Caenorhabditis elegans: one gene and its partner. The protein of the gene in region 1 purifies or fractionates together with the protein of each later gene. This does not show direct contact. Each region holds a gene or a part of one and is shown on either strand. Other genes may lie near its edges.

The links. Proteins that work in one complex are often made in the same cells at the same time.
Region 2: the proteins of vap-2 (region 1) and aatf-1 fractionate together in Caenorhabditis elegans (co-fractionation; one large-scale study listed by BioGRID). This does not show direct contact.

What each region holds. Positions count from the first base shown.
Region 1 is NC_003284.9:10,787,145-10,798,134, reverse strand, and holds vap-2 (SCP domain-containing protein), read left to right. Parts: upstream 1-5,599; coding exon 5,600-5,624; intron 5,625-6,039; coding exon 6,040-6,170; intron 6,171-6,212; coding exon 6,213-6,318; intron 6,319-6,380; coding exon 6,381-6,538; intron 6,539-6,844; coding exon 6,845-6,951; intron 6,952-6,996; coding exon 6,997-7,141; intron 7,142-7,189; coding exon 7,190-7,281; intron 7,282-7,476; coding exon 7,477-7,692; intron 7,693-7,737; coding exon 7,738-7,966; intron 7,967-8,039; coding exon 8,040-8,150; intron 8,151-8,196; coding exon 8,197-8,282; intron 8,283-8,335; coding exon 8,336-8,453; downstream 8,454-10,990. Other genes in the region: plc-1 (Phosphoinositide phospholipase C), read left to right, coding at 587-767, 828-955, 1,058-1,151, 1,480-1,688; T05A10.6 (DUF19 domain-containing protein), read left to right, coding at 3,448-3,494, 3,927-3,988, 4,158-4,234, 4,277-4,468, 4,513-4,580, 5,109-5,139; ttr-14 (Transthyretin-like family protein), read right to left, coding at 8,584-8,652, 9,111-9,382, 9,437-9,592, 9,634-9,856, 9,900-10,009, 10,056-10,152, 10,197-10,262, 10,308-10,387 and 1 more.
Region 2 is NC_003279.8:1,597,331-1,608,320, forward strand, and holds aatf-1 (Protein BFR2), read left to right. Parts: upstream 1-4,507; 5' UTR 4,508-4,509; coding exon 4,510-4,588; intron 4,589-4,634; coding exon 4,635-4,988; intron 4,989-7,150; coding exon 7,151-7,713; intron 7,714-9,046; coding exon 9,047-9,442; 3' UTR 9,443-9,516; downstream 9,517-10,990. Other genes in the region: Y73E7A.6 (Bladder cancer-associated protein), read right to left, coding at 10,588-10,732.

The DNA.
Region 1 (10,990 bases):
CACATTCGATGCGTCCACACTATCAGCGAATGTCTGAACAGAAACCACACTGACATCACCTCCCTCAACCCAATATATACAAACCTTTACAAATTCCATTAACTATACTTATTACAAATCGCTTCGTCATTACATGCTAATATTGTAACTGTCTACAACATGCCCTACCTCCCAATTTCTTTTTTCTTTCTTTTTCTCTAACTAGCCGACATGACTCAACGCTCAATATTGCTGGACTTTCATCGGAGTACGGGCATAGGTGAGATCTCTACTGACACGACTGATGAACAAAGCTCGACGCAGCAACGGGAATGGCTGTTCAAAATTTTTTTGTGGCTTTTGGGTGTTTTGAAACTTGAGTAAACCTATGATGCTTTGAATGCTGACCTTATTGATTATTGACAACGCATGTTTTGTATTTAGGAAGTTTCTGCACCCGCTTGAAGCAATTTAACCAAACGCAGCTTCTGTTTTCTAATATTTTGAATCAAAGTGTTTGGACTGAAATATCAAATTCTAACCGTTTGAAGTGATTGATAGGGGGATAAAATATTTTGTATTGATAATTCATTGTCTTAAATTATAGGACCCATCATCTAGAGCTTGGATCACTTCAATTATAAAATCCGGAACAAGTGGAAGCTCCACGTCAGTCTCACCAAGTCCGTTGACCAAAGATGGACACGTAAAGAGTGCATCAAGCAATCAACTTCATGGACGATCATTGGACACTGACGCTTTTGGAGAGCACCTTGAAGTGACAGAAGGCAAGTGTAAGGATACTAACAGATCGGGTCATGATAAAACTAAATGTGTGATATTTGTAGGGTTGAACCCTCGTGCAAGATCAATGGGCGACACATTTCTGGTATGTGTTCACAATGTTAGTGAAGATCAGCCTTATGCAATCCTACGTGCTGGAATCCACAGCACTGCCGCCGACATTATTCGTCAGGTGGGAAATTAAGTTTATTGATTTGACAAGTTAGCATTAAGCTTTTAACGTTGCTTTTATAATCAAACTACACAAAAACAACAATTTTATTTTGGTTTTCAGGTGTTTGTTAAAGCTCGCCGTTCAAATGTAGACGATTCCGAGTTTGTTCTTGTTGAAGAAACCTGCGATGATCCAAAACTCAATCAAGGCCAAAGTATGCTACAAGCCCTTTCGTTGGCGCGGAAAAGAAGCAATGATCGTAGGCCATTAAGATGTTTTGCACTGTATATTCACCATTTTATGTGTTTTGTGTCACAAATTTGTGTGTTTCTATTTACTAGGCTGTAGTTTTGAATACCTATGTATATCAATAGGTCAGCAAAGTGCTTTTTAAGATTTATGTGTTGCTCGGACACAAAAATATGGAAAAAATTTCCGGACTCACTTTTATACGGTAAAATGTGCAACTTCTTGGTCTATGATGCATCTTCTTTTAGCATGTTATCATTCACAAAACTTTAAATAATATAAAAACATTTCAGTGACTCCAAAGTATCCAAACAACCGCACCACAAGCCGAGTGTTAGGACAAAACGAAAATGTTTGGAAAGCACAATCGAGGTGGAAGTCAATGGGCAGATTTGTACTTGAAAACCGAAAGGACACAGTGCACGCAACCCTCGAAAAAGTGAGATCATTTATATCAAAACTGGAAGCTGCAAAAGCAAGCATGGATCCCAGACACGAGTGATGATGCACATATACTTTCCCTCCGATCAACTCGGTTTCACTCAATTATCACTATCAATACTTCTATTCCTATCACTTTCCTCAAAATTCACTTTAAACACACTTTTCCATTTCTATCCGTCTTATTGAATTATTATGTTCGATCAAGAATTCTGCATGTTTGTTTGCATAATCGTGTGTATTATTGATATACTATGTAAATCCCTATTTTTCATACAAGAAACTATGATACTGAACAAGTTCTCAATGCTAATATTATTTTCATGCCACTAACATGTCTCAATAAACATGAAATGGGTATTTATTTAACTCTACATTATCCGAATCCTCGATTTTTCTACAAAAAAACTCGTAACAAATTGGCAAAATTACATCCAAATGAAAAATGTTCTACAGGAGTTTCACGAAATGGCAAAAATCATTCGTGAGGGTATTCCAAAAAAGGACGAAACTTATTATATGATATACTACTCAGGACTGCCAGGAGAGGATATTTGAAGTTACTGGGATTAATTATGTTTTCACTATATATTTGGTTTTGTAGCTGTGGTTGGCAACTTCTTAAATTTACGGTTTCTTTGTTTGTATGAATAGTCTGTTTTTCTTTCTTTGTTTAAATTGGATTTTTTCCATCCTTGTTCACACAGTATGCAAATGGTGATGTATTCGTTGGTACCACTGAATATGAAATTTAAATTTTTTTTTAGTATAAAGTGTGAAAAATAACACAAAAACCTAGTAGCTCAAATTAAATAGTGAATAAATAAACGTAATATGTGTATATATTTAACAAAATTTAAAAAAAGCTGGAAATTTTTAGTTTTGTAAACTTATGAACAATGTATAAACATATTATTTTGTTATCGTTAAAGTAGATTAAAATTTGTAATTCTAACTGTAATTTTACAATACAAATTTTAATATTTTAAAATAACATGAAAAGTAAATTTGAAGACATTTTTTGCTGTTAATATGTATAATCTTTCTTAATTTCAAAATTTTTGACATATTTCTGCTCAACTCAATTTCAATGATCAATATGAAATGCAAAAATACTTCTTTATAAAATTAATTAGTTGTGTGAACTTAAATCTCGATTATTTGATTTTTCAGCGATTCTCCTATCGTGTTTACTAATATTTATTATTTATTACATTTACAATTGCAACCTATCGATAATAATTATGCATACATCTATCTTTTCAATTGGGGCACCAGCAATGTATAGTATGCGTTTTAGGGTAGACGTGTGGAAAGCACAACTTCTTCCTCCACCACAACGCGCAAAATAAGTTTATCCAGCGTTCGCTCAATCGGTCTTCCACGTAAATTCTCCAAGTTTGGCAAGTCGTTGACTATGGATGCTGGACCAAAGTGACCTGAATTCTACTATCTAACAACTGTTTTTTCATTTATATTTGTGTTACATGATCTTTCTTTTCAATTTTTAATAGAAATCTTATAGTGTTTATTAGTATCTGCCAAAATGTTCTATTTGTGTTTTACTTCATTTTTTATGTGATTTATTGCAAATTGCAATACTTTTTTTTTCATTTACATTTTTGTGTACATTCACATTGAAAGCTAATAAATAAGTCACGATTTTTCAACCATTTCATTTTGCCATGCAGAAAGTTTTTTTTGCTGCGTTTGTTAAAAAAACAGGTGTGCACACAAATGGGTTATTGTCTCTGTGGATGGATAGAATGAAATCTGATTCACTTATTTTATATTGAACTGGATTGAACTGGAGCTCAACTATGATGCAAATTTTTGTATTGTTGCTGGTTGTTTTTGTCAGTGTACAGTAAGTTGAATGATTTGAGAATAATGTAAATTACCGCTATGTAAACTGAGTTTTAACGTAGTTCTAAGTTATGCAATGCGTTTTTATAGCAGACTGTTTTTGGTGTTCAAAAAGTTATTTGACAAGTATTACTGAAAGCTAGTCCATCGAACATTCCAAAGTCAAAATTCAATTTGCCAGTTTAATTTTAAAACAAAAATATTTGACTTCATGTGCTTAAATTGAAGAAATAAAAAAAATTTTAACCAACATATTGTTTACTAGATAGCACATTCATAAAGGAAAACCAGACTGTTTTGTTATAACTGTTTTCTTTGGTGTTAAAATTTTATTGCACATTTTTTTAGAACAAACATATTTTTTTATTACACAGTTTTGAATATATTATATTATAAGTAAGAATTGAAGTTTATTAGAACGTTTTAATTTCAGAAGCCAAATCCACATTGCTGACGATAACTATTTTCTCGAAAGACAACGAGTGAAACGTGATGGTAAATTTATGTCGCATAAACTTTTTATTCCTTTCCTTTTCCCAATTTTCCGTTTTCTCCGTAAAACTATGGTAAATTATGTCTGTGTTCTGGTTGATAAGGAAATCATTAAGCTTTCTTCTCCTTTTGTAACTAAATTTGATCTTTACTCCATCTGATTTCGTTACAGCTGCTAGTACTACGTGCCCAAATGGAATGTCCGTGGCTACTCGTAACGTATTTGACAAGACAGTTGCTAGTGGAAAGGTTTTTTGGAACATAAATCTTCAGTTTTATTTTCATTTATAGACATGGGATTGCACTTTGGAGAGTAAGGCTCAGGCAGTGATCAAAGAGTGTTTGTTGGATAACGGTGGTGTCACTAATGGAACATTGAAACTAAGTTTCCCAGTGACTGGTAGTACAACACCAGAAGCAACTATTCAACAATTTCAAACAGCTCTTCAACTTGCATCCAGCAATTCGAATAGCAAGTCACAAGTACTAACAAAATGTTTATAACCCGTCCAAACTGTTATTTATAGATTACTGAATCGATTGGATGCTCTTATGCGCAGTGTCAAAGTAGACTCGACATTCTTTGTCTCTTCAGGTAAACATATAAAGTCAAAAATGTAGATTTAAATGTGAAACTCAACACTTTGAACACGGGTCTCAGAATTACAAAAACTAATAAAACTAAAAGACTAGTAAACGAAAAACCGTATAACTAGAGAAAGTGCTAGACTGTGATAGATTGTTACAAGTTTCAAAAAATATATGGGTTATGTTAAAAACGTTAGACTGTTTCCAAAAGGCAATATCCAAAGGAATTCCAAAAATCTTACGGTGCGCTCAAAACCCGTAAAAACATTTTTTTTTGTGAAAACTTACTTATATAAAATTTTTTAGGGTTCTCGAGTAGAAAAAATATACACTGAATAAATTTTAGTTTTCGTTTATAAAGGCTTTTATGACGACGAATGGCTAAATTTTTTGGAGAAATACATAGTCTCATAATCTTTTGAATAAAATCGGTGTCGTTTAGCAGTGTAATATTTTTGACCTTATTAGAAATGTATTAAACATGTTATTACAAAAACCTTTAAAAAATTCTGATATACAAAATTTCAATTTTCAGCCACTCGTCCACTGTACCTCCACTTCCATAAATATTGCACCACAAATTTCTTGATTTAACTTTTCGCATGACCTTGATTAAATTAAACTCATATTGGAATCAATTCAAATAAAGAACACTTATCAAATCAAACTTATTTGGGTTCCAGAACACTCTGTCACCTGGAAACCGAAATTGATGATCTGATCGAAATCACGAGTAAAAGCGAAAACAAAACATTTCGATTTCAACTTCCTCTTGACAACCGCATCCCCACAGTCTTTTCTTGACAGCAACCAGACGATTCCTGTCAACGTCGCAACCCCAAATTTGCATGGCATTGACAGATAATAAAATAGTGAGAAGGGGTTTATTGTGGCAGAAGACGTGAATGGGGAAAAAAAGAAACATAACAAACATATAAAGCGCTTCATAAAGGGAGGAAACTACCGTGTGTATTATTATATGCCGACACCAATTTTTAGGTTTCACTTTTGCGGTTTCTCACACTCATGACCTCTGCAACTTCTACTTCAGGTACTGTTTTGAACGAATTAGCATAAAATTCCAGAGAGGAGCGACGCCCTTTCAGAACAAAGGACAAACCTATCAAAACCAATAAATTATTACAGTAACGGTGTACAATTTGATATATAGTATAGTTGTTGTATCAGTGGTAGGCAAGCTTGATTCGTTTGACTTTTGAACTTTCTCCTTATTTTGTTCCAAATTTTCAATTCATTATATCACTGTGTTCAAAACTTTTCGAAACTTTCGCTTTCAGTGTTTTGTGTTTGCCCTTCTATTTCAACTTTTACAGTTTGAAAGTCGCATCAATAATTCGTAGACACTTTCTTTTTCCTCTCTCTTTTTTCTGGAGAGTACGTAATAAACTGGTAACTTTGAGGGGCGGAGCTTAGTCTCGACTTCGGTCTTCATAAATAAATTTCAGCCGCGGCGCCTCCCGCATCGAATTTGTGGATTCAAATACAAGGTACCCGTCATGCTCTTTGCTTGCTGATGACTATTATGAACGTGGTCCTTTCCGCTGTCACTCTTTTTCTTATTTTTCGATATGCGCAGGTATGTTTTCATTGGCTCAATTTTTTAATTGAAATTTTTTAGACTGTGAATATAGAAGGCAGTGGAGGAAATGATGAGCTTCTTGAGCAGAACGTGTGGAACGATGTAGACGACAAGGTTGTAGAAGCACTTGGTGGTCTTGATGATGGTTTGTTGATTTTCAATGCCTTGTTCCTTTTATCTCATTGACCGTGTATGTGTTCGTTTTAGAACTGCTAACCGAACATGTGTGTAACAAATCAACGATCACTCAGCTACAGCAGGAGATCATCTTGACAACCCACAATGAATTACGAAGATCATTGGCTTTCGGAAAGCAAAGAAACAAGAGAGGTCTCATGAACGGTGCGAGAAATATGTATAAACTGGTTAGTTTGTACTTTTGAGATAACATTGAGAATATTAGAACGGGATATTATATTGTTAATTACTTAAGTGTGATTAAATGCTTCAAACAATAGAGTCTTTTTGAAGTTTCAAACTAATTATTGATTCCAATACCAACATTTTCAAAAAAGTTGATCAACTTATTGTTCACAGCCATTGAACATATTAGCAATCTGACATTTGAGATATTCTACTAACCTATCAGATACTTTTCTAAAAACAAACAACCACCTTAATACTAGAAATATCTTTTCAAGTTTAACTTGTCATCAAACATACAATTTTAGGATTGGGATTGTGAACTGGCATCACTTGCAGCCAATTGGTCAACCTCCTGCCCTCAGCACTTTATGCCGCAATCGGTACTTGGCTCCAACGCTCAGCTTTTTAAGCGGTGACTAGTTTTCACATAGTCAAAACATTATTTGTTTGTTTTCAGTTTCTATTTTTATTTTGATGGGCACGACTCTACTGTACATATGCGAAACGCGATGAAGTATTGGTGGCAGCAAGGTGAAGAAAAAGGCAATGAGGATCAGAAAAATAGATTCTATGCCAGACGAAATTATTTTGGATGGGCAAACGTGAGTGTATTTGATATAGACCTATTAATGAAGTTGTGAAAATTTCAGATGGCAAAAGGAAAAACATATCGAGTTGGATGCTCGTATATTATGTGCGGCGACGGTGAATCTGCACTTTTCACTTGTCTTTATAACGAAAAGTGAGTTTATAAGTGATATTTTCTAGCTTCCGGTTTAAAAATAACTTGCGCAATAATACATTAATTTTGAAACACCAGTTTTATTGATTCTAGCAGTGAAAATAGAACATATACATAGTTTTTAGATTAATTTGTCATTTCCAATTCCGCTAGTTTTTACTCTGATTTTAAATATTCTCAACTCATATATTTTCGAGCCCAATGCGAAAAAGAAATGATTTACGAAAATGGAAAACCCTGCTGTGAGGATAAAGACTGTTTCACATATCCAGGATCAAAATGTTTAGTACCTGAAGGATTATGTCAAGCACCTTCTATGGTAAAGGATGATGGAGGAAGTTTCCAATGTGATAACTCCCTTGTGTCAGATGTCACCCGCAATTTCACTTTGGAGCAACACAATTTTTATAGGTATTATACAAAAAAATAGTTTAACTTTTCACGTCAACTGTTTAGATCTCGTCTTGCAAAAGGTTTTGAATGGAATGGAGAAACAAACACTTCCCAGCCAAAGGCTAGTCAAATGATCAAAATGGAGTATGACTGCATGTTGGAACGGTTTGCACAAAACTGGGCAAATAATTGCGTTTTTGCACACTCGGCACATTACGAAAGACCGAATCAGGGTCAGAATCTCTACATGAGTTCTTTCTCAAACCCTGATCCTAGAAGCCTTATACATACGGTAACTGTTCCTTTGATCTTCCATAAATATAATATTATCAATGTTGTCATCATCCATCAAAAAACTGTTTAAGGCCGTCGAGAAGTGGTGGCAGGAATTGGAGGAGTTCGGTACTCCAATTGATAACGTTCTGACACCCGAATTGTGGGATTTGAAAGGGAAAGCGATAGGACATTACACTCAGGTATCAAACCAATGGTCAATTTGATAAGGTAGTAGTAGAGGTTCAGATGGCCTGGGATCGTACTTACCGTCTTGGTTGTGGAATCGCAAACTGTCCGAAGATGTCGTACGTGGTTTGTCACTATGGGCCAGCGTAAGTTTGATTGATAGTTTGAGACGTTTGGGGAAGATTGTTTCAAATTTCAGAGGCAACAGAAAGAACAATAAAATCTATGAAATCGGGGATCCTTGCGAAGTCGATGATGATTGCCCGATTGGAACAGATTGTGAAAAGACAACTTCTTTATGTGTGATCTCAAAATAATTTTATTATTTGTATAAGTGTATAGAAGAAATTAGTGGGTTGAAAGCTTAATAAAGATCTGATAGCGATAATTGATAACAATACAAGTTAGTTCAGAGAAATTGGTAAATGCTAAACAAATGACGATGGTTTATTTTTTGAGACATGGGTCCTCCACGTATTCATGTCGAAGCTCAATAGATCGGCTGAACGATTGACCCTGAAATTAAAGAACTATTGAAAATGAAAGGAAATTGCAAGTATGTACAATAAGAATAAAATTAAAATATTGGGAAAAATATCATGCATAATTTTAAATAGAACTATTAGAAAATAAAAATTTCTTTAAAAGTGCAAAAAGTTTAAAGATGCACTTACGCTATTTGTTTCAAATGTTTTCAATTTTTTTTGTATTTTTAAGCTACTAGTACTTTTTAAATATATAACGGTTTCCTTAAAATGTTTATAAAAGACAACACGCAAAAATTTTCAAAATTTTCAGAACTTGTCGTTTATTTGCCAAGCTTAAGTAACATTTTGGAAGTTATGAAAAAACCCGGACGTAGTGCTATGAAAAATGACAAAGCCCACACCTAAGCGATCACATACCATTGTTTAATTTTTAATCTTTAAAAAAGTATATACAGAATGTAGTCACAGATAAAATATATGCATTACCTGTGTTAAAACTGGATAGTGCACACATGGATCCTTCTTTTCAACCTTTTCAGAAGATGAGACAGTTCGAGTTTTCTCGCCCTCCTCTCTTCTTTTAATTTCCTCCTCTCGTCGTTTCAGGGCTTCTTGACGTTCCTGTTCTCTTCTGTGATATTCCTCCATTCTTCTTTTGTGTTCGTCTTCTTGCTCTCTTCTTCTTTGCTCTTGAAGTTTTGCTTCTTCTTCCCGCTTTCGTTCTTCCTCGGCTCTTCGTTCAGACTCCAATCGACGTTCTGAATTGTGAGTCACTTGAATCAAACATTTTGAGTCTATTTTTAGATGCCTACCTTCTTCTCTACGTTCTAACTCAATTCTTTGTTGCTCTTCTTCTTGACGTCTGATTTCTTCTATGCGTTTCTTTTCTTCTTCAATGCGACGGATTTCTTCCAATCTAAGACTTTCTTCCTCTAGCCTTCTGATTTCATCCAACCTTTTTTGTTCTTCTGAAATTGAGAATAACTGACAAAAAGTCTCTTTATTTTACCTTCAAGTCTAAATCGCTCCTCTTCGATTCTTCTTTCTTCATCTGAAACTTCGTGATGTTCTTGGTGATCAACATGATGCTCTTCATTATCTTTGGTAATGTGTTCAGAACTTGATGCCATCTGCTCATCTCCTTCTGTTGGCTCAACTACAGGCTCTTCTACTTCCACTGGTTCTTCGTCTGTTGGCAATACAGTTTCGTGAACTTTCGTTTCAAAAACAGTCTGAATTTGCTATTTCAATTTCAGTAATTTTGGTCAAGCTAACTTTCTCGTAAAAAGCTTTATACTGCACATAAATTGGAATGCACTGACGGATTCGCTCTTCCATGTTTGTCTCAATGTAGATTCGTTTTTCGTATTTTTGAACAGGAGCGTCTGAAAACAAACAAATACGTTTTTGCAGTTTTCAAATCTTGAATACCTGCTGTAAGAAGTTCGATATCCCCCAAATGATACACATGCTTGGCTTTTGCTCCTTCAGTAATGTACTCTGCTGGGATCATTTTTGAGAAAACTCTCTGAAATCATTCATTAAATGTACATCATTCAATAACTAAACTACCTTTTCATTCAGTCCTTCGTAACCACAGTTGTGTTCAATAAAGACATATGGCTCGATCGCAGTGAACTGAAAATATCACAATTCCATTATTAGGAAAAATAAAATAAAAACCTCTTCGGTTGATCCCTTGACACAAAAAACTCCTCTATGATCTGCAACTACAGACCCAAGAAGATCATCACTGTCGAATACTGGAAAAGTTTTCAAACTTTAAATTAAATTTAAATTAACGAATAAACGTACTTGAGTCTTCATCGTAAAGTTGCACAAATGTACCAGGTTGTCTATGCCCGCGACAATTAACAATTCCTTTTACAGTAACTGCTTGTTGAGAAGAGAATACAATTGGAATAAAAATAGAAAACCACACAAAGCTGAAAATCTTCGCCATCGTGGGAAGTGTTGAAAGCACGAATGGCACTGTTTCAGAATCTTTGCAGGAGTGAGCGTGAGGGAGAAGGGAGGAGCAAGACGATGACTAATTGAAATTTTGCTTCCTATACAGTTGTTTTGTTTCGCCAACCAAATCACGACATTTTCGATATAAGGCTCGACGAAAAGTGTACAGTTTTTGTTTTCTTTCGCATCTTTTTAAAAATGTCTAAGGGAATAACGATGTTGAATCATACGTATTCGTATAGATATACGTAGTTGTGATGAAATAAGAAACAAGCTGAGAAAATATTTCGAGGTTCTGAGGCAAAACAAGGGAAAAGGTATTGAGCTTTCATTGGAAACAAAACTAAGATACAGTAAAATTGCAACTTTCATTGGAAAAAAATTTAATTATTGTT
Region 2 (10,990 bases), on another chromosome or scaffold:
GAAATCATTTTTTGGCGGAAATTTCAAATTTTCAAAGAAAAAATTTCAGCGGGAAATTCAAATGTTCTTTTTAAAAGTTTGGCCTAAAAATTCTTCAAATTTCAAAAGCGTTTTTCATAACCCCCAAAATCAGAAAAAAAAAGAAAAATCTACCGTAACCTATCATGTGCTCTTTTGTTCCTCAAAAGCTCAAAAAACGCAAGAGTACTTCAAATTGTTCCAATTCAATGGACTACGGTAGAGCACACTTGCATTTTTCTCTTCATTTTTGGCTCCCCTCGCTGAAGCATTTCGGGCAAAAATTGAATACTCTGGGAGAGGCGAAGGGAAAGATTTTTTGCTTTTTTGGCGGCGGCCGCCTAGCGCCAACTACATTCCCACCCATCAAAAACAAAAAAAAACACTTTTTTCTATTTTTTTGACGTCCTCCCAGCTGATTGATGCATTTTTGCGGCAAAATTTCTGGGTTTTTGAATCCATGGAATTCATAAATATATAAGGGTTAGGCTCCGCCCACTTACGAGAAAATGTTCATTTTATTTCAAAAAAATTAACCGTGCCCCTCACGTGGAGTCAGAGTGTCCCATTTTGGTTTGATCTACGTAGATCTACAAAAAATGCGGGAGAAAAGACGCAGAGTTCTCAACTGATTTCGCATGGTTAAGAACGTGCTGACGTCATATATTTTTTGGGCAAAAAAACCCCGCATTTTCTGTAGATCAAACTGTAATGGGACAGCCTGGAACCACGTGGTGCCCCTCAAAGATGCATGGCGGAAAATTCAAATTTTCACAGAAAAAGTGTTCAGTTGGAAATTCTACCGTACTCCTCTTCCAATTTTGAGGTGCATAGAAGAAGTTGGGCACGGGTTTCTGGCTCGACCCCTCGGTGTATTTTGTGCAAACACCGTCACGCGCAAATGCATACACTTTTTCAACGCGCTGCGTGAAAATTCCTCTTGCGATTTCAAAAAAATTTTTCCCGCCATTTCAGTGTCCAATGGAGCGCGGGGTCGAGCCAGAACCTCGTGGTTGGGTTAGAAAGTACTTGAAATAATTTTTTTTGAGAAAAATTTAAAAAAAAAGAAAAATAAGTTGTCGGAATTTGCTCAAAAAAAGGAGAAAAAGGAATGGCGGAGCCGCCGCCGTCGCCACAAAAAAAGAGCAAATGCACATAGAGCAAAAACACGAAAAGAATGGAAAAAATGGGCGGAGCCTCGCAGCGGGGGGCTCACATGAGAGAGAAAAAGCTCGCGCCTCAAGGGACGCCAAATCGATGAGCGGGGGGCTCTCACGTCTTCTACTTTTTTTTTTGCTCGCTGCTGAGCACAGAGAAAAAGAGCACCTCCTTTTTGTGCATGTGTGCTTCGCGCTCCGTGAGCTCTGAATGAGTTATTCTTGCACGGGCAAATGCTCTTCAGGGGTGGGTAGGAAGAAGAGATGGGTAAAATGAAACAAGAAGAGCAAAGAATTGTTTTCGAAATTTTTTTCTGGATAACTAATAGTTGTATTTCTCGCGACTAATGCATTACAAAACTAGAAAATACAATAAAAACTCGGGCCGCCAAACACCGATTTCTGGCTTCACTCATAAATTGAAATAGAAGAGTTTTCGCCGAACTAGGCCATTTTGGCTCGGCCATATCTGGGGTAGATTTACGGCGTGTGTCGCGTGTCGCGTCGCGGCTCGAGTTTAGTTGTAAAACTAAACGTATTTGTCCGTGTGGAGTACACGACTTTCCCACGCGTTGCCCAGCAGGCGATTGTCAATGGAGCGCGGAAAATTCAACGAGGAAGGCCAGAACCCCGTGGCCAAAAAAAAAACTTTTATTTCTGGGAAAATTTGAACTTTTGTTTGATCAATTTTGATGACCTTGTTGTCAGAATTTCAGAAACTTTCTAAAAACATACCGTATTTCTTCTATTAATATGGCTGCAATACTATTTTTCGATGGTCTTCCCGCTTGCAATACTAATAGGGAGTGCAAGACTATTAGGGAGTGCAATACTAATTTTTAGAACATTTTCTGACTTTGAGCTTACTAGTTTTTTTTTTCTGAAAAAGCTCGAATCTTTATGTAAAAATTCAGAAAATTTGATTCTAATTGTAACATATAAGTTCAAAAACTTCAATCTCGTAGAAATATTGTGAAAAACTGTAGCAAAATAGGCAATTTTTTTTGTTGAAATCCTGAAATTAACGAGACGGGCCTGCAATAAAAAAGAGTAAACGCAAGACTATTAGGGAGTGCAATACTAATTTTCAGAAGATCTCCGAGGGACAATACTAATAGGGAGTGCAAGTCTAATAGGGAGGCCATATTAATAGAAGATATACGGTAATCATGGGGCTCTGGCCTTTCTCGTTACATTTTCGCGCTCCATCGACAATCGCCCGCCGGACAACGCGTGGGAAAGCCGTGTACTCCGCACGGACAACTACATTCAGTTTTACAACTTAAATCGAGCCGCGACGCGACACGCAACGCGCCGTAAATCTACTGAGCCAAAATGGCCTAGTTCTGCAAAAACTCTTCCATTTCAATTTATGAGAGAAGCCAGAAATCCGAATCGCGACTAATGTATTACAAAACTAGAAAATACAAAATAAACTCGGGCCGCCAAACATAATTTTCAAAAGAAAGAAATTTTCAATTTCCCGGCAAAACGTTATTTCTGAGAAAATTTGAACTTATGTTTGATCAATGTTTCCTTGTTTCAAAATTTCAGAAACTTTATTTTTTTTAAAAAGTTATATGTTATTGTTTTTTAGGCGCAGAATTCCCTGACTGAATTTACATGGTGAAAGCGTGATGACGTCACAGTTTTCTGTATTAAAAATTCCCGCATTTTTTGAAGATCAAACACTAATGGGGCATCCTGACACCACATGTTAAAATACCCAGAATAGTCTCACAAGTTGATCACAATGTACTAGCAGTTTGATCAGCTACATCTCGACTGTGAAAGAAAATAGGAAAATAGTTTTTGCTGGTAACGTGTTCCTCATTTTTAGCTTTACAAGTTTTCTGTTGATCGTTTTTTTTTCATATTCCATTTATCCTGCCATTTGCTATAAAATAATGAACGAGGACAAAGATTTTTTTACATATTTCAAGAGTCTATACATTTTCAACGGGAAAAATTTTTGATTCCTATTCCTCAGAAAGTTTTTACCAGGATTTTATTAGCTCAAATAAATTTGAATTGAATTTTATTTTAGTAACTGAAAAAGTAAAGTTAACCAGCACAGCAATAATACACCAAAAGTAATTTCATAGAAAATTAATAATTTTAATTATTTGTAATTGGAACTGAAACGGAATTTGAGAAGTGGAACAATGTTCGAGGATCCGTCGGAAATCTATCATGCCATACGAGAAAATACATGGCAAAGTTTTCAATGAGAATAGTTGCTAATAGACCATCACTTCTTTCGATATCACGTCCATATGAGCAATCCACGAATTCAAGATCATCGCTGAAATAAATTTAATAAAAGCTAAATTCATTTCGACTCATTGCCACTTATATAGGTAGCTCACATCGCTAATAATCTCAGGATTCTAACAGGATCTAACAAAAAGTTAATATTTGGAAAAGGGTGTAATAAAACTCACCAGAATATTCTTGCTCGACGTTTCGGATTCCATTTGGAATATGGTAAGCCATACAATAAGTCGCCCGCCCAATGATGCCACCAATAGTTCAATTGAAGTCTTCTCAGGTTTGGTAGGTTCCCGTCTAACCAATAACGAATGTACTTATTGATTTCTCTTGCCTTGATTGTATTGAGATCATAAAATCTCATCTTCTCGCAATTCATCATTTTCAAATCGTCCAGTGTTAATCCTGGGCTTTTTTCGAAATCCAAACGTGGAATATTGACCAACTTAAATTTTAGTATTCTAGTTCTTAACAATTATCTTTTCAACTTACCAGTTTTATATCAATCTTGGTTCTGCGTAGAGAGCGAGTCAGGAATCCATATTTCAAATTAAAATTCTTCAATATAAATTTCATATCCTCTGTGGTAATGTACGATCCTTCTCCTAGAAACTTGAGGAAATGGCATTTCCGGAACAAAGGGTGGCTCAAAGCGGACTGATATGATAATCTGAAAATGTCTCCAATTATCTGAAATTTTATGAAAATATGCTGAAACATCTGAACTTTTGTCTTAAATTGTCTTAAATTGTACAATCATTTCACAAATTCCAAGCTGGAAAATCTAATTTTCTTGTTTTTTTTTTCGCACAGAAAATCCAATTTTATTTTATTTTGCACTAAACAACACGCACTACGACACTCCGTTATCCCGCTTGAAAATTATTTAATTTATTTTATTTTATTTTATTTTATTCGAAAAAAACTCAATTTCCACTCATTTTCCGAGATTTTTTCCGTGTTTTAATGCTAAAAATGCACTTTTTGACATTAAAACCGTCTAACACAGCTTTATTGTGCCCTAAAAGTCGGGAAAATCCATAAAATCAAGTTTTTTTCAGAAATGGGTTTGTTAGATGACATTTCGAAGCTAACAACGCCCGCAACAGAGCTGCCAGACTTGGAGGATGATAATTTTGAAGGTTATCTAGTTTTTCAGGCGAAAAATTAACAAAAAAAATGTTTCAGACTCGCAGTCCGCGCTAAAATCCCTAAAATCCACCGGAAACCGCCAAAAAGCCGCTCAAAATTTCAATTTCGAGGAGGGAAAGTACGCGGGAAGTGCTGTTTCAAGAAAAGAGCTTTTCGGTGATATTTCTGAAATTTCCGGCTTACAAGGGAACTTTGACAAGTCGGAGAGCGAGGAAGACGAGGACGAGGAGGAAAAAATCGATAATTTCGATGAATCTGAGCCAGAAATTGAAGATGAGGAGGAAAATGAGGATTTAGAAGACGAGGAAGATGAAAATCCTGAAGAAATTGATACAAATATGGGAATGACTACTCTTTCGCTGAAAGATGAGGAGGATAAAGCCGATAAAGGTTAATAAAGCCTCTGAAATGGGAAAAATTTGCGAAAAAAGCATTTTTTGGCGAATTTCCCGGTTTTTTCTGTATTTTTAACATTAAAATTGCGAAAATTGACCGATTTTCCGAGGAAAATTGATTTTTTTTTTCAGAAAAAATAGGCTTAAAATCTCAGATTTCACCCGCAAAATCACAAAAAACTCAAATTTCCACACAAAAAGTCGTGAAATTCCAGATTTACTCAAAAAATCGCCAAAACTTTGAGTTTTAATTCAAAAAAACCTAGAAAGGAGCAAATTCCGTTAAAAAAAATCGGGAAAATTGCCAATTTTCCACAGAAAAATCAAACTAATCTCCTAATTTTTGAAAAATCCCAAAAAACTTTAAATTTTCTTCAAGAAATCGCTGAAAAAGTCATATTTTTCTCTGAAGCATTGCGAAAATCTTGAAATTAATAAAAAAAATAATTGAAAATTCCCAAAAATCTTCAAATTTTCCATTAAAAACCAACCAAAAAAAATCTAATTTTCCCGAAAATCACCAGATGTTCATTTAAAAACATTGCAATTTAAAAAAAATCGCCAAAAAAATAATTTTTTACGGAAAAATTCCACAAATCGTCCAATTTTCCATAAAATAACCACACAAAAAAAAAATCTAAAGTCCCAAAATTTCAGATTTCAGTCGAAAAATCTGAAAAATTCAGCATTTTCAAATGCGAAACCCAGGAAAATTTCAAAAATCTTGATATTTTATATTTTATATTAAAAAGCGGTTTTTTTTTCCGAAAAAGTCGGTTTTAAATATAAAATATTAAGATTTTTGAAGTTTTCCTATGTTTCGCATTTGAAAATGCTGAATTTTTCAGATTTTTCGACTTAAATCTGAAATTTTGGGACTTTAGATTTTTTTTTGTGTGGTTATTTTATGGAAAATTGGACGATTTGTGGAATTTTTCCGTTAAAATTATTTTTTTGGCGATTCTTCTAAAATTGCAATGTTTTTAAATGAACATCTGGTGATTTTCGGGAAAATTAGATTTTTTTTTGGTGGTTTTTAATGGAAAATTTGAACATTTTTGGGAATTTCCGATTATTTTTTATTAATTTCAAGATTTTCGCAATGTTTCAGAAAAAATGTGACTTTTTAGCGATTTCTTGAAGAAAATTTCCAGTTTTTTGAGAAATTTTTCGGGATTTTTCAAAAAAAATTGTTTGTACAATTTTAGGACTTTTCGTGTGAAAATTTGAGTTTTTTGTAATTTTTCGGGTAATATTTGAGATTTTAAGACGTTTTAGTGAAGATAATTTCAGATTTTTCTGAAAAAATCCGATATTTTGATTGAAAATTGGGAAAAAGTATAGTTTTTAAAATTAAAATTGCGAAAATTGACCGATTTTCCGAGGAAAAATGACTTTTTTCAGTCAAAATATCGGATTTTTTCAGAAAAATCTGCAATTATCTTCACAAAAACGTCTTTAAATCTCAGATATCACCCGCAAAATCACGAAAAGCTTCAAGTTTTGCTCTAAAAAATCACAAAAAACTCAAATTTCCACACAAAAAGTCGTAAAATTCCAGATTTACTCAGAAAATCTCCAAATTTTTGAGTTTTTATTTTAAAAAAACCATATTTTATGAAATTTTTATATTTTATTTGGAAAAAAAACGAAAAAATCTAAAAGTTTGGAGCAAAAATTCCGTTAAAAAATCGGAAAATTGGCAATTCTTTAAAAAAAAATCACATTAAATCATTTAAAAAGTTACAAAATTTTTTATTTTTATTTTTTTAATGCACAAAAAATTGAAAAAAAAAACCTTCAAGAATCTTAGAAATGTGGAAAAATTGAAAAAAAAATCCCAGAAAACTTGAAATTTTCTTACGGAAATTGAGAAAATTTTAAAATAAAAAAAAATTATCGGAAATTCTCAATTATCTTCAAATTTTCCATTACAAATCAAACATGCTAAAATAAATCGCCGAAAAAAAAATTAATTTCAACGGAAAAATTCCATAAATCTTCAAATTTTCTATTAAAAATCAAAAAAAAAAAAAAAAGAAAACCCATGCTAAAAAATTTTAAAAATCTTAATATTTTATACTTAAAAACTGCTTTTTTTTTCGGAAAACTGCAGCTTTTCCCTAAAAATTCCCAAAAAAAATTCCATTTTTTCAGCCGCCAGTGTCCGAAATCAGCGTCTCGTATGGGATGATCTACTCTATTCGAATATCCGGCTCCACGCGTTGCTCAACACAGCCAATCAGCTGCCACGTGGAGAAGCTCGAAAAAATCTGCTCAAAACCAGCGAAGAGCACACACAAAAATCGATGGAATCGGCCATGGAAAATATGGGAAAATTACGGAATTTAATGAAAAACGCGATGGAATTGATTGGTGAAGGGAAGGGAAAAGCCGCCGGAGAAGATGAAGAAGATGATGATGATGTAGAGGAAATTCCAAGTGATGAGGAGATTCTCAGTGATTTTGAAGACGATGAAGAAGAGCCGGCGGAAGAGCTCGAAATTCCGGGAAAATCACGGAAAATTGGTGGAGGATCTACCAGTGTGAAAAGCCTCGCAAAAAATCTGCAAAAAATCGATGAAAAAATGGAGAAATTCCGAGCAACAACACTCACGAAATGGTACAATCGAACTAAGATTCTCAACACGCCGAAATCTATGAATAATACGGATTTTTCGGTTTTTGAAAAGGGCAGCATTCTTGGACAGATTAATAAGGTAGAAAATTGTGGCGGAAAAGCGTTGGATTTCTGCTTAAAAATCGGTTTTTTTAACCATAATATCTAGTTTTTTGGCTGAAAAATCGAAATTTTTGCATTTGGGACAACAAAAAAAAACGGCTGGATTCCGAAAATCGAATTTCGAATATTTTTTTTGGCAGATTTTCCCCCAAAAAATCTAATTTTTTGGCTAATTTTTCAATTTTGGCTGATTTTTGGCTGAAAAAATCGATTTTTTTTCTCGCAAATTTCACGGAAAAATCGCACAAAAAACCTTTTGCTGGTTTTTCCTCAAAAATTCGAATTTCCAAGCAAATTCTATTGTAAACCCCGGTTTTTTCTTAATTTTTCATTGAAAATCGTAAATTAAAAATTTTTTAAATTGAAATTCCAAAATTTCCCGCAAAAATCGCACAATTCTGAAAATTCTGAAAATTTATTTGAAAAATTCGTGTATTTTTTGCCAATTTTCTACGAAAAAACAACCATAAAATTTCCGGTTTTTCACAACAAAAACCCTACTTTTTTCCAGAAATTAAAAAATTTTCAAACATTTCCATATCGTGCGCCTTTAAAATAACGGAAATCGCGGCGAGACCCATTCCATGCACCTTTAAAGTAGCACCACCCAGCGTTGGATTTCTGCTTTAAAATCGGTTTTTTACCATAATATCTAGTTTTTTGGCTGAAAAATCGATTTTTTCGCAAATTTCACGAAAAAAATCGCACAAAAATGTTTTTTTTGCTCATTTTTTCCTCAAAAATCCGAATTTCCAGGCAATTTCCATTAAAAACCCCGTTTTTTGCCGCAAAATTCTTAATTTTTCACTAAAAATCGTAAGCTTAAAATTTTTTAAATTGAAATTCCAAAATTTCCCGCAAAAATCGCTCCGGCAATTTGCTGATTTGCCGGAAATTTTCAATTCCGGCATTTTGCCGATTTGCCGGAAATTTTTAATTCCGCCAATTTGCCGATTTGCCGGAAATTTTCAATTCCGGCATTTTGCCGATTTGCCGGAAATTTTTAATTCCGCCAATTTGCCGATGTGCCGAAAATTTTCAATTCCGGCAAATTGCCGATTTGCCGAAAATTTTCAATTCCGCCAATTTGCCGATTTGCCGCTTTGCCTTTCTGAAAAAAACGTGTTTTAGTTGTGAAAAATTGGAAATTTTATAAATTTTTCCGTGGAAATCTCTGAAAATCATTGCGAGACCCATTACATGCGCCTTTAAAGTAGCGAAAATCGCGGCGAGACCAATAATTTACGAATTTAAACCTAAAATCGCGGTGAGACCCATTTTTTCATCTTAAAAAAATTGAAATTTTGCAGGTTCTCGCCGACGAGGAGAAGCTGCTCAAAAAAGTGCGCACAAATCGAAGCGGAAAACCGCGAATCGGCGGCAAATCCGACTCTCCGGAATCCCTGGACCCCGAGACGTTCGACGATTCGGATTTCTATCAAATTCTGCTCAAACAAATGCTCGAAGCACGAAACCAGATGAGCAACAACTCTCAAGACGGAGCAGACATGACGAGAAGCTATATGGAGTTACAGACAATGTTCAGTAACAAGAAAAAACGAGATGTCTCGCAACTTTCGTCAAAAGATCGCCGCTTGAAGTACGAGCCAATCGCCCGGCTCATCAATTTCTATCCATCGAAGCCGTCGGTCGTCACTTGGAGCCATGAGAGCCGGAATGAGCTCTTTAAGTCGTTGTTTTCCTGATTTTTTTGGAGCATTTTTTTTTTAATTTTTAAATTTTTGGTTTTTTTTTGTTACTTGTTATAAGATTTTTTTGATTTGTTTAATAGAATATCACAGATTTGGAGCAAAATTTCGAAAATTTTGGTTTTTTTAATATTGAAAATATCGAATTTTTAGTTTTTTTTTTGAAAAATTGAAAAATTTTAATTTTTTGAAAATCGAAAAATTAAAATTCTTGATTTTTTGATATTTTCAAAAAAAAAACGATGAAAAATCGGAAATTTTCAATTTTTTAACAAAAAAGAAATTTGACAACTTTTTGAAAATTGGAAAATTTCAATTTTCCGATTTTCAAAAAGTGCTCAATTTTTTTCGATTAAAAAAATTGAAAATTTCCGAAATTTTTTTTTTGAAATCTACAAAAAATTATAATTTTTTGAAAATCGGAAAATAAAATTTCTCGACAATTTTTACTTTTTCGCTTTAGAAAAAAAAAAAGAAATTTCAATAGTTTTTAAAATTTTTTTGAAAACACGAAAAATTACGGAAATGTTTGATATTTGAAAAAATTTCAAATTTTCAATCTTTTGGAAATATCGAAAATTTTCGATTTTTTAAAAATATAATTAATTTAAAAGTTAAATTTTTTTTGAAAACGAAAATTTAGGATAAGTTCCGAAAAATCTATAATTTTTAGTTTTCAGTTGTTTTTTTTTTAAATTTTGAAAAAATCTAAATTTTAATTAAATTTTTTTTTGTAAATATCTGAAATTTTCGATTTTTTTTATCGAAAAAAAATTAAAAACTTTTTGAAAATTGGAAAATTTAAATTTTCCGATTTTTTTAAATACTGAAACATCGAAAAATTACGGAAATTTTTGATATTTGAAAAAATTTTAAAAATAAAATCGAAATTTTTTTGTTTTTAGCAAAAAGAAATTTCAATATTTTTTGAAATTTTTCTTCATATTTTTCTAAAAAAAAATAATATCACATTTAGTTTTTTGGGGAGATTTGGTACAAAATTTGTGTAGAAACTGGGATTTTTTGGGGTGAAAAATGGATAAAAATAGAGGAAAAACTAGAGAGAGAGGGAACGCCCGTAACAAATCGGAAGATATTCAGAGAAATGGAGAGAAAAAAAAATATGTGTAGATTTAGGATATTTAGAGACGATCACGGAAGACGTAGGTGCACACTTCTCCGTTGAGCTTCTTGGTACACGTTGGCCAGAATATGCAGCTATCGGGGTCCGAATAGCAGAGAAGTGAGAGGGCGATGAAGAAGATTCCAGAGCAAATGTGACATGGCCTGGAAAATTTGGAATTTGAGGGATTTTGGAGATTTTTCTGGCGATTTTGAGCTAAAAAATGGAATTTTTATGTTAAAATAAGCCTTACGCCAGGAAATTGACGAATTTTGGTGATTCTGAGGCCTTTTTCCGGGAATTTTGAGCTTAAAAAATGAAATTTTTAGGTCAAAAAAATTGACAAATTTCGGTGATTTTGGAGTTTTTTTTGGGGATTTTGAGCTTAAAAATGGAATTTTAGGTTAAAATGAGGGTTTGGC